Sus scrofa: one gene and its partner. Each later gene encodes a partner of the first gene's protein in a complex. Links are inferred from orthologs where the notes say so. Each region holds a gene or a part of one and is shown on either strand. Other genes may lie near its edges.

Evidence for each region.
Region 2: the proteins of AIFM1 (region 1) and CHCHD4 are in contact, whole or in part, in a cryo-EM structure (PDB 9GQZ), measured with the Homo sapiens proteins. The link is inferred for Sus scrofa from reciprocal best matches to the Homo sapiens genes AIFM1 and CHCHD4. Residues at the interface, in NP_004199.1 of Homo sapiens: Pro345, Tyr347, Ser500, Ser501, Leu502, Pro503, Thr504, Val505, Gly506, Val507, Phe508, Ala509, Lys510, Glu558, Asp559, Tyr560, Asn602, Ala605, Lys606, Phe608, Asn609, Ile610, His611; in NP_001091972.1 of Homo sapiens: Arg5, Glu7, Lys9, Asp10, Arg11, Ile12, Ile13, Phe14, Val15, Thr16, Lys17, His20, Thr22, Pro23.

Annotation. Positions count from the first base shown.
Region 1 is NC_010461.5:106,705,351-106,709,888, reverse strand, and holds the start of AIFM1 (apoptosis-inducing factor 1, mitochondrial), read left to right. Parts: upstream 1-1,598; 5' UTR 1,599-1,767; coding exon 1,768-1,873; intron 1,874-4,538. UniProt on the Homo sapiens protein: Functions both as NADH oxidoreductase and as regulator of apoptosis.
Region 2 is NC_010455.5:70,416,132-70,420,418, reverse strand, and holds the start of CHCHD4 (mitochondrial intermembrane space import and assembly protein 40), read right to left. Parts: upstream 3,094-4,287; 5' UTR 2,922-3,093; coding exon 2,900-2,921; intron 1-2,899. Other genes in the region: TMEM43 (transmembrane protein 43), read left to right, coding at 3,431-3,442.

The DNA of each region.
Region 1 (4,538 bases):
GGCCAAAAAAAAAAAGTCATGGTATTGCCTGCACTTCTGAACATTAGTCTATTCTTAATGAGTAAGGGAATACTGGGTCATTTTTACCCAATAAATACTGTTTCCTGAATTAAACTTCCTCAAACAACACCTTTGTAATTTCATTTTCTATCCTTAATCCACTAAAAATAATAACTTCATCACCTACAAGATTAGGGCTAAATTCTTTTACCAGTTCAAATCTGGCCCTACCATATTCACTTGTCCTTATTTACTTCTTAGTATGTACTCTCTGTCATTGTCCCCTATAAATGTGCTGGGGTTTGTTTGTTTTATACCTCCAAGCTATTTAAACAACATGATGCATCCTGTAAAATACTTTACAAATATTAGGTCATGTAATCTTCATAACAACCCTATGAGATTGATAGATGAGGAAACTGAAGCACAAGTGACTTTTCCAAGTGGCAGAGCCAGGATTCAACTTGGGGCAGAAGGGATCCAAAGTCAATGGTGCTTGACCACTGAAAATATTACTTTGGGTCCCAATGAATTCACCATCTGAAATATCATCCCTTCTCCATTGTCTATTTGAATTTTAATACTCATCCTTCAAGATGTAGCTTAAGTAACATTTCTTGTATGAAGTCATTCCTTAGCTTTTCCATCCCATACTTTTCTCTTGCTCTGGCACTACATCAGATATTTAAATGACCAGTGTATGTCATCTTCCCAATCAGACAGTGACCACTTCCTATACTATTCACATCCCCCAGAGCTCCTCTCATAGCACAGTCCAAATGGCAAGTGCTCAATACTTGTTAACCAAACATGTAACTCAAAGCTTTGAAAAAGACATATTTTGCATACAGCCCAAAGTTTATTTCCAATTTAGCTTACATGTGGTAGAGTCAAAACACCTATCTGCACTCAGCCTCTCACCCTACTCCTCCAACTCTTTTAAAAAATCTGCTTAGGATTTCTCTCATATAAAGTCGGTGAAGCACAAACTCTTTTTGCCGGCATCCTGCTCTCAAGCACCGAAGCCGTAACAGCCGACTACCGCAGCACCCGGTACAGCATCTAGGACACAGAACCGCACAGTATAAAAGTGGTATGGGAAAGAGTGAGCGGAATGTCTACTGGTCCAGGAAACAGGCGCTTGGTAGGAAAGCGCCAGCAATTTGTAAAAGACGGAAGTCCGCTCCGAATCTGGGAAGCCAGGTTCCCCGGCAGGCCCTGTGGAAAGACTGGAAGTGGACTTCAGCAAGAGAATCCGGAAGGCTTATTACCTAGTAATTAGGAACCTAAAACAGAAGACTAAACCGCGGCGCTGAGGCCACGCTTTGTGAGGTACTGTTACCGCAGCAGTACTGGCCACAACCAGGCAGAGCGGCCCCATCAGCCGCTCCTCGGGCAGCTTTCCAAAAGCGCTTACCCACACGTGTTGCCACCAACCTGCGGAAAATAGCTAGCAACTCCGGCTGGGGTCTTTGCAAGTGTGAGGGCAGCTAGGCACATGCGCACAGCTTCTCGCCGTGCGGGCCAATCGCAATGCGGCGCTGAGCATCGCGCCTGCGCAGTAGGCCTCCAGGCGCTCTTCCCCTTCCCTGCCGGAGCTGGCCGGCTTAGCTGTCCAATGCCCACCCGGAGCTGGGAGGAGGAGCCTGCGTAGAGTGCGTGTGAAGGGAGCAAGGGGAACGGCCCGGGGCCCTTGGTGTTTGACCCGTCCGTCGGTGCGTAAGAAGAAAGGAAAGGAGGCGGCGGTCCAGAGTAGCGGTTGCCGAAATGTTCCGGTGTGGAGGCTTGGCGGCGGGTGCTTTGAAGCAGAAGCTGGCGCCCTTGGTGCGGACGGTGTGCGTCCGAGGCCCGAGGCAGAGGAACCGGCTCCCAGGTGATTGACCCATCCCGGTAACCCCCACCTCGAAGTCCAAAGGCCTGGGCTCCAAAGGCTCTCTTTGCCTCTCAGTCCTAAGCCCACCCCACCCCCACCCCAGGGGAAAAACTAAACACACTCACAGTCGCTAAATTCCGAGGTGGAGAGATCTAAACTGTGAGTTTCGCAAATCGTGCTGACCTGACCTTCAGGGGATTTGAGCCCAGTAGTCGGCTTGAGGCCTTTTCCTGGGAGGCTTTGCTGTTCGGGGATAACAGACCAGCTGGCTGTCTCCTATTGTCCGATGCCACCTCGCAGCCACCCCCAGTTGGCCTTTTTAGAGCCGTGAGGTCAAGTCGACTTTGTCGTTTGTCGGTTGTGAGGCCCTAAGCAGGACGTTTAAGCTCGACACCTCAGGTCCTTTTGTAAATGAGTATATTGCCTGCCTACCTTCCAAACCCCACCTGTGATTCATAGATTTGAGCGCCCTGAGAAGCAGAAACAGTGCAATGAAAGTAAAGAGTCAGTCGGCTATGCGCCAGACACCAGGAAGAGTTGGCCCAGAATTCATTTGACATGTCTGGTCAGTGGAATTCTTGCTGGTCTCTAATGCTTCTAAGAAACAGTTTGCAGAACGCATTGCATTTGCCCTCCATGAAGTTGTTTCATCAAATGTTAGAGCTGGAAGGGATTTCGTGGTAAAGTTCAACCCATTCATTTTATAGATAATAAACCGAGGCAAAGACAGGTGAAATTACATGCCCAAGGTCACAAACCTAATTAATAGGCAGAGCAAAGTATAGTTTTCCAGTCTTTATTTCCCTAATCCCCTCGCCCTAACTCCACATTGCTTTCTAAAATTTGACCTCAGAAGGTTAAGAATGAATGCGGTTCCCCTTCAGCCGGTTGTGCATCAGATACCCTTGAATGTATCCAAGCTTATCTCGAGCCTGCTAATCTTCAACCTGCACAACTTCAGAGGGGTAAAGAATCATCTACCTGTAGGAGGTGCTGTTTTGTGGGTTTTTTAGTCAATAATCTTTGAATGGCCACCTGAAGATATTCATATTTGCAATGTGAGAAATGATCCTTGAGGCCTTTTCTTTCTTTTTTCTCTTTTACTTTCTTTTTTTTTTAAGGGCTGCACCCAAGGCATATGGAAGTTCCCAGGCTAGGGGTATTCGAAAGTTGCCCAGAAATTTACACAGAAACTTAAGTAAGCTGAAGATTTTCATCTACACACACTGGCCTTTCAAACTTTATGTACTTATTTTGCCTAAATTGTTTTGTGGGAAAACTAAGAATTATTGGCAATAGAGATCCTGAGGAGGAGTTCCTGCAGTGGTGCAGTGAGTTCGGAATCCAACTGCAGTGGCTCAGGTCCCTGCAGAAGCTCAGGTTTGACCCCCACCCCCCGCCCACTGAGTGGGTTAAAAGATTCCCTGTTGCCCTGCAGGCGTAGCTCGAAGCTAAGGCTTGGACTCAGTCCCTGGCCTGGGAACTTCCTTAGGCCACCTATGCTGCCAATAAAAAAAAAAAAAAAAAAAAAAGGAGTGAGAAAAAGAATGTATATATTTATGTATGACTGGGTCACCTTGCTGTACAGTAGAAAATTGACAGAACATTGTAAACCAGCTATGATGGAAAAAATAAAAACCATTAAAAAACAAAAGGAAAAGAAACAACTCACAATTTTTGCCAGCATTATGAAATCTGACCAAAAACGTTCTCATCAACTAAGTATGGATTTACAAAGGTAAATTGGTTTATTAGACATTTGAAGGTGGTTAGTAGTATTAGAACTGAAGAATACAGAAAATGTTCTTTTCCATTGCATGACTTTGTTTGAAAGCAGTCTGCTGTAGAGTATATTCCGACTTCTTGACATATCCATCCATCTCCTTGTGTATACTTATTCTTTGTCTTTTGGCCAAGCACCGGAGTGTAACGTTCCCTTTAGCAATGGGAGGAGATGAGGTCACAATTTCAAAAAGAAATGATTGTCATTTTAGGGATTAACCTTGTCTTGTGGCTCGATTTACTAATTGCTTTTAATCTGATTTCTTTTGCACACAGTAGCATTTACCATGTTTTTGCATAGATCAAGAAGAAGCATTTTTTATTGATATGCCATTTCCTCCTCCTTTTCCCCCCTTCCTCCCCACTAGTTCTTCACCAGGATTATAGCAAACTTTAAACCTACCTTGAAATGATCTCATCCATATCTGTCACCATTGTCAGGTTCGTTTCCATTATATGTTGCCTTTTGCCTTAAAACCATAATTGCTACTATTTATTTATTTGCTTAATTTAGATGCTCTGCCTCTTTCCAGCAATGATAGAAGGGAATTAATAGTCACCACTTTATGACTGCATTCAGCAGTGAGGAGCAGACTGGCTAAGTAATAGAGTAATAGATATTTTCTATTCTGTAGTATTTTATTTGGTTGCCAGACATTGTGCTGCCCATGTGATCAAACTGATCACTGACCCCTGACCTGAGGGTCGAATGTTTGAACATGTTTCTCTGTTCAGAATCCTTCTCACCTCACTAAAAAGGAAACTGGACTCCTTGTGGGCAAGGATCCAGACATCTGGACACCACCCAATGACACCTTTTTTTTTAAGCCTAGAAGATGAGCCTTTACCCACTCTTTCTGCTGAGGCAAAGCTTTACAGAAGA
Region 2 (4,287 bases), on another chromosome or scaffold:
CCCAGGTCACTCTGCAAGCAGGACTTCAGGGTGGGGCTGGTGACAGAAGGACTGACAGAGCATTCAGACACCAAGACACCCCAGTTCTGCAGTTTTACTCTGTGCCTCTGTCCCCGACTCCCATCTTCCTCTCATGCCTCCCTCATCCAATCCTGCTGGCTCTGCCTCCAAGCACATCCAGAAGGACCTGCATCCCTCACCTTCATGACCCCCTCTCCCCACTTCTCCCTCCACTCAGCATCTCCTTGCTTCTACTTGAATGTGCTGAGCACACGCCTACCTCAGGGCCTTTGCACAGGCTGTCTGCCCCCTAGGAACACACTGAGATCCCCTCTCAGCCACCTTCTCCCTGCCTTCATACCTCCTGCTCAGATGCCATCCTCCTTCATCCTTTCCCATCACCATTTACCTGCTTTTTCTCACCTTACAATTACATATTTGTTTACCACCTGTCACCCCCACTGAAATTGAAATGTCTGCTCCATTCATTGCAGCACCTCCAGAGCCTAGAACAGTGCCCAAGACATAGTGGGTAATCGGTATTTGCTGAAGACGTGAATGGAGAAATTGAACTCTGGGTTCGAACATGAAGACCTCCGCCCCAGCAGAGAAAGGTTATCACCATGAAGCAGGTTAGAGAAAAAAACCCTTGGATGGGTGGTCTCATTTTCCCCAGGACACGTGTGGGTCTTTACACATCAGAATCTCTCAGCACATCCAACCCAGGAAGGTTCCCCCCCCAGCCCCCACCACACCATGAGGGCAGATGGCCCACCTATGACCAAAGCCATGCCTCAGTGGCTGGTACTTCACAGGTGCTCAATAAAGTTTAGCTGAACAGAAGCGGGGTCAACATTAGAAGAGAAAGAACAGTGCTACCCATGGCCAGGGAGCTAGTCTGGGTCCACACTGCCCAACACCTTGAACACCCAGCTGAGGCCTTTACTCCAAAGGCTGGGATAGGGGCAGGGCACCCCTGAAGTCAATGTGATTCACTTAGAACAGAGGGAAAGCGTATGCACGGGTTCACTGGGTAAAGGTGCCAGGTGCCAGGGGTATGGCCCATCTAATGCTCTCAGAAGACAGGAAATGCTGCTAGAAGACAGGAAATAAGATGACCAAAACAAATCAGGTAATTTCATAGTTTAGGAAGTGAAAGACACAAAGGGTCAAGAAAGACCTTACTGAGAAGCTGAATCTTAAAGGATGAGGAGGCAGCCGTGGGAAGAGACCTGGAGGAAGGATGCACCCAGGCAAAGGGAACAGCTGAGGCCAGTGTGGCTGGTCAGCAGTGGGTGATTAGAGACCAGCTGGGGACGGATCAGGTGGGGGCTCCATCACACAAGCCCTCAATCAGGCGTTTGGGATCACTTCTCTAAGTCCCATGGGAAACAGAAAGAATTGCTAGGTAGAAAAGAAGTTTTTTAGGATTTAGGGGACCATGGCATGGATAATATTAAAAACTAGGGAAGGCCTAAAAATGAATGCTTTCAGTTCTCACCCCCAATACTAAGAGAGATCTTTGACCCAGGAAAAGATATGACCTACCATTTGGTGGTAGATAAACACCTGCCTTGGACTTCCAGAAATCCTCAGGGACAAGGAGGGTCTGTTTATCTGCATGGCCTCATTAAGCCCACAAGGCTCAAAAAAAAAAATTGCTAAATGATGAAGTAAAGTAGACTCAGAAGGCAATAAAAAACAAGAGACCTACTCTCTAACAAAGCGGTGAGGGCAGAGGACTTTTGCTCAAGGCAGAGTTAAATATCAATCAATTAAAATAGCACTCATTAGAGACATCGTGAGTATTATGACTTTATGACCCAGGGAAGGAGGGTTCTGGAAGCAGAATGGGGTACTGGGGGAAAGGCCTAGCATTTTAGATTGAGCTGTTTTCCTACCTAAGCATGACCTTGGGTAGATCACCTCCATCTCTGGGCTTAAGGGTCCCTCAATGACCTGAGGGAGCTAGACTATTCATTAAAGAATTTCAGGGAGAGTTCCAGCTCTCTCTGGAGCTTTAAAGTCTCAGGTGTTCACCATCACCCTCACCTGGCACTAAAAAGGTGCTTCATGAATATGTGGAGAAGGAAGGAAGGCCTACTTCTCATTTTACAAGACTGAACACTGGGCCTTGGAGGGGCTGGGTGACAGCTCAGGGACAAAGAGCCAGTTAGCGGTTGTGCGCGGAGGCCCTCGAACCCCTGGCCTGGAGACTTCTGGGGTTCCAGGAGAGGTAACAAGGAGAGAGACCATAGACAGAAACCTATTTAGTTTTGTTTTTTTGGGGGGTTGTCTTCCCAACGGAAGGCTCCCTGGAATCCACTGGTCACCAGGCTGGGCAGCTCTGGAATCAGACCGCGGGGGTCCAACCCCAGCTTCCGGACTTGCCGGCATCATGGCATTAGCCTAGTCACCTCTGGGTCGCTGTTTACTCTCGGGAAATGAACAGGGCCTGGCTTAGGGCGCACCAGCGCCTGACCGGTCCCCTCGGGCGGTACTCCACGCCGCAGCACAGAGCACGCCGAGGGCGACTTTCCAGGACTGTTGACGGGCGGCGCAAACCGGAACACGTGGTGTGGGTAAGCGCCATAGTAACAATTAATACCTATAAACTCTCCGTTAGGAGCCAGCGGCAGCGCGCTCGCACTCCTCCGACCCCCAGGCCTAATTTAAGAGCTCTCTCACGTGGTGGTCCCTCAGACGTCCGGGTTCGAGCCTCACGGTGACCTTGGACCGCCTCGCTTCTCCCCGCTGCCCATCTGTAAAGCGGGGATGGAGACCCGACGCAAGGGTCCGAGGACTATCTTCCGCACCAGTGGTGGGGCGCGGGGGCCGCACAATCCGCCTGTTCCCTGCAGGCCCTCGTAGGCCGTCTCTAGGTACCCCGCCCTCCTACCTTCCTGCCGGCAGTAGGCCATAGTGCAGCCCGGCGCTCCAACCTCGCGGTGATCGCGGTGGCTGCCTCACGCCGTGACCTCTCCCCGGCGAGGCGGGCGGCTGGGAGGCCCGTGCGGACCCGCCCCCTCCAGGCCTGCCCTCCGCGCGCCTGCCTCGGAGCTCCTAGCCCGGCCTTCTCAACCGGGAACTACATTTCCCAGCAGGCCGCGCGCCGCCGAGCAACTCCCTAGACAGAAGGAACTGCAATTCCCAGAATGACCTGCAATGCGCAGGTGCACCAGTGAGGTACCGGGTAGGTTGCAACTTCCGGAGAGGGCACCAGACTACGTTTCCCAGGAGGAGGCGCGGCGGGCGAGAGCAGAAAAACCGCGGCTTGCGGGGCGTTGCTCTGTAGCGCATCCTAGGGCTCCGGGCTTCCCGCGCCTTTTGGCCGCCATCTGGCTGTCGAGAGGTGGCGGGATTCCGTGGTGCAGCCGTAAGTCCGTTTTCTTGCTGAGCCGAGTGAGGCGGGCGGTGACCGGATCCTGCCATGGCTGCGAACGTGAGTGTCCCCGGCTTCGCCGGCCACACCCAGGCTGCCTCGTCCACTCTCCCGGCCGCCCGCCGTAGCCCCTTGTGCGGCTAACCGCCTCCGTGCAGCCGGCCCTTCCTCCCTCTCGCTCCCGGGTCCGCTCCTTCCGGCAGGGCAGCCAGGTCGTCCGTACGTGCGGTCAGCACCCGGTGGTCCACGTCCTCCTCGGGGGCGCGTGGTGGTAGAGACGCAACCTCTGGAGGTGTGGCTCTGTCTCCGGGTCCGCTTATGTGCGGCGCCTCCGCGCAGCTCCTTCTTTCCTTCTCGGTTCCCGCCTGCGCCTTTGGGATTCTCACATTTGCGGACTTGAGAGTTGGACGGGACTTCAGACAGGAGTCCCCCATGGGGTGTGTGGGGAGGCAGATATCGCCCTGGTGAAGCTGTCCAGAAACGCACTGTCCTAGCAGGCACTGAGGTCCCCGCTCCAGGGAGTATGTAAACCAAGGCTCTGATGTTGTGCAGAGGGGCAGACTAGTTTGGAGCAGAGGAGTTAGCATGACTGGGAGAGGGAGCATTTCCCTACTGCTGGCCCCTCGTCTTCCTGGCTTTGGCTTGGTTGGAAAGGCCCTGGCTGAGGGCGGTGCCCTTGGAAAGGCAGCTGCTTTTCTCCCTGCTTTTCTGAGGAACCTTTCTATTTAAGCCCCACATTCATTCAACAAACCGAGGGGCACCTGCCAACAGGGTGCTGGGTGTGGGAGAAGCTGGTGACTCATGTTCCTGTCTTCTGCAAAAGTGCCTCTGGTGCCAGCTCGGAGCCCAGCCAGCTGAGGCACTCCCTCCCTCCTGCTTTGGTGGCATGTCCTAACCACTCTCTC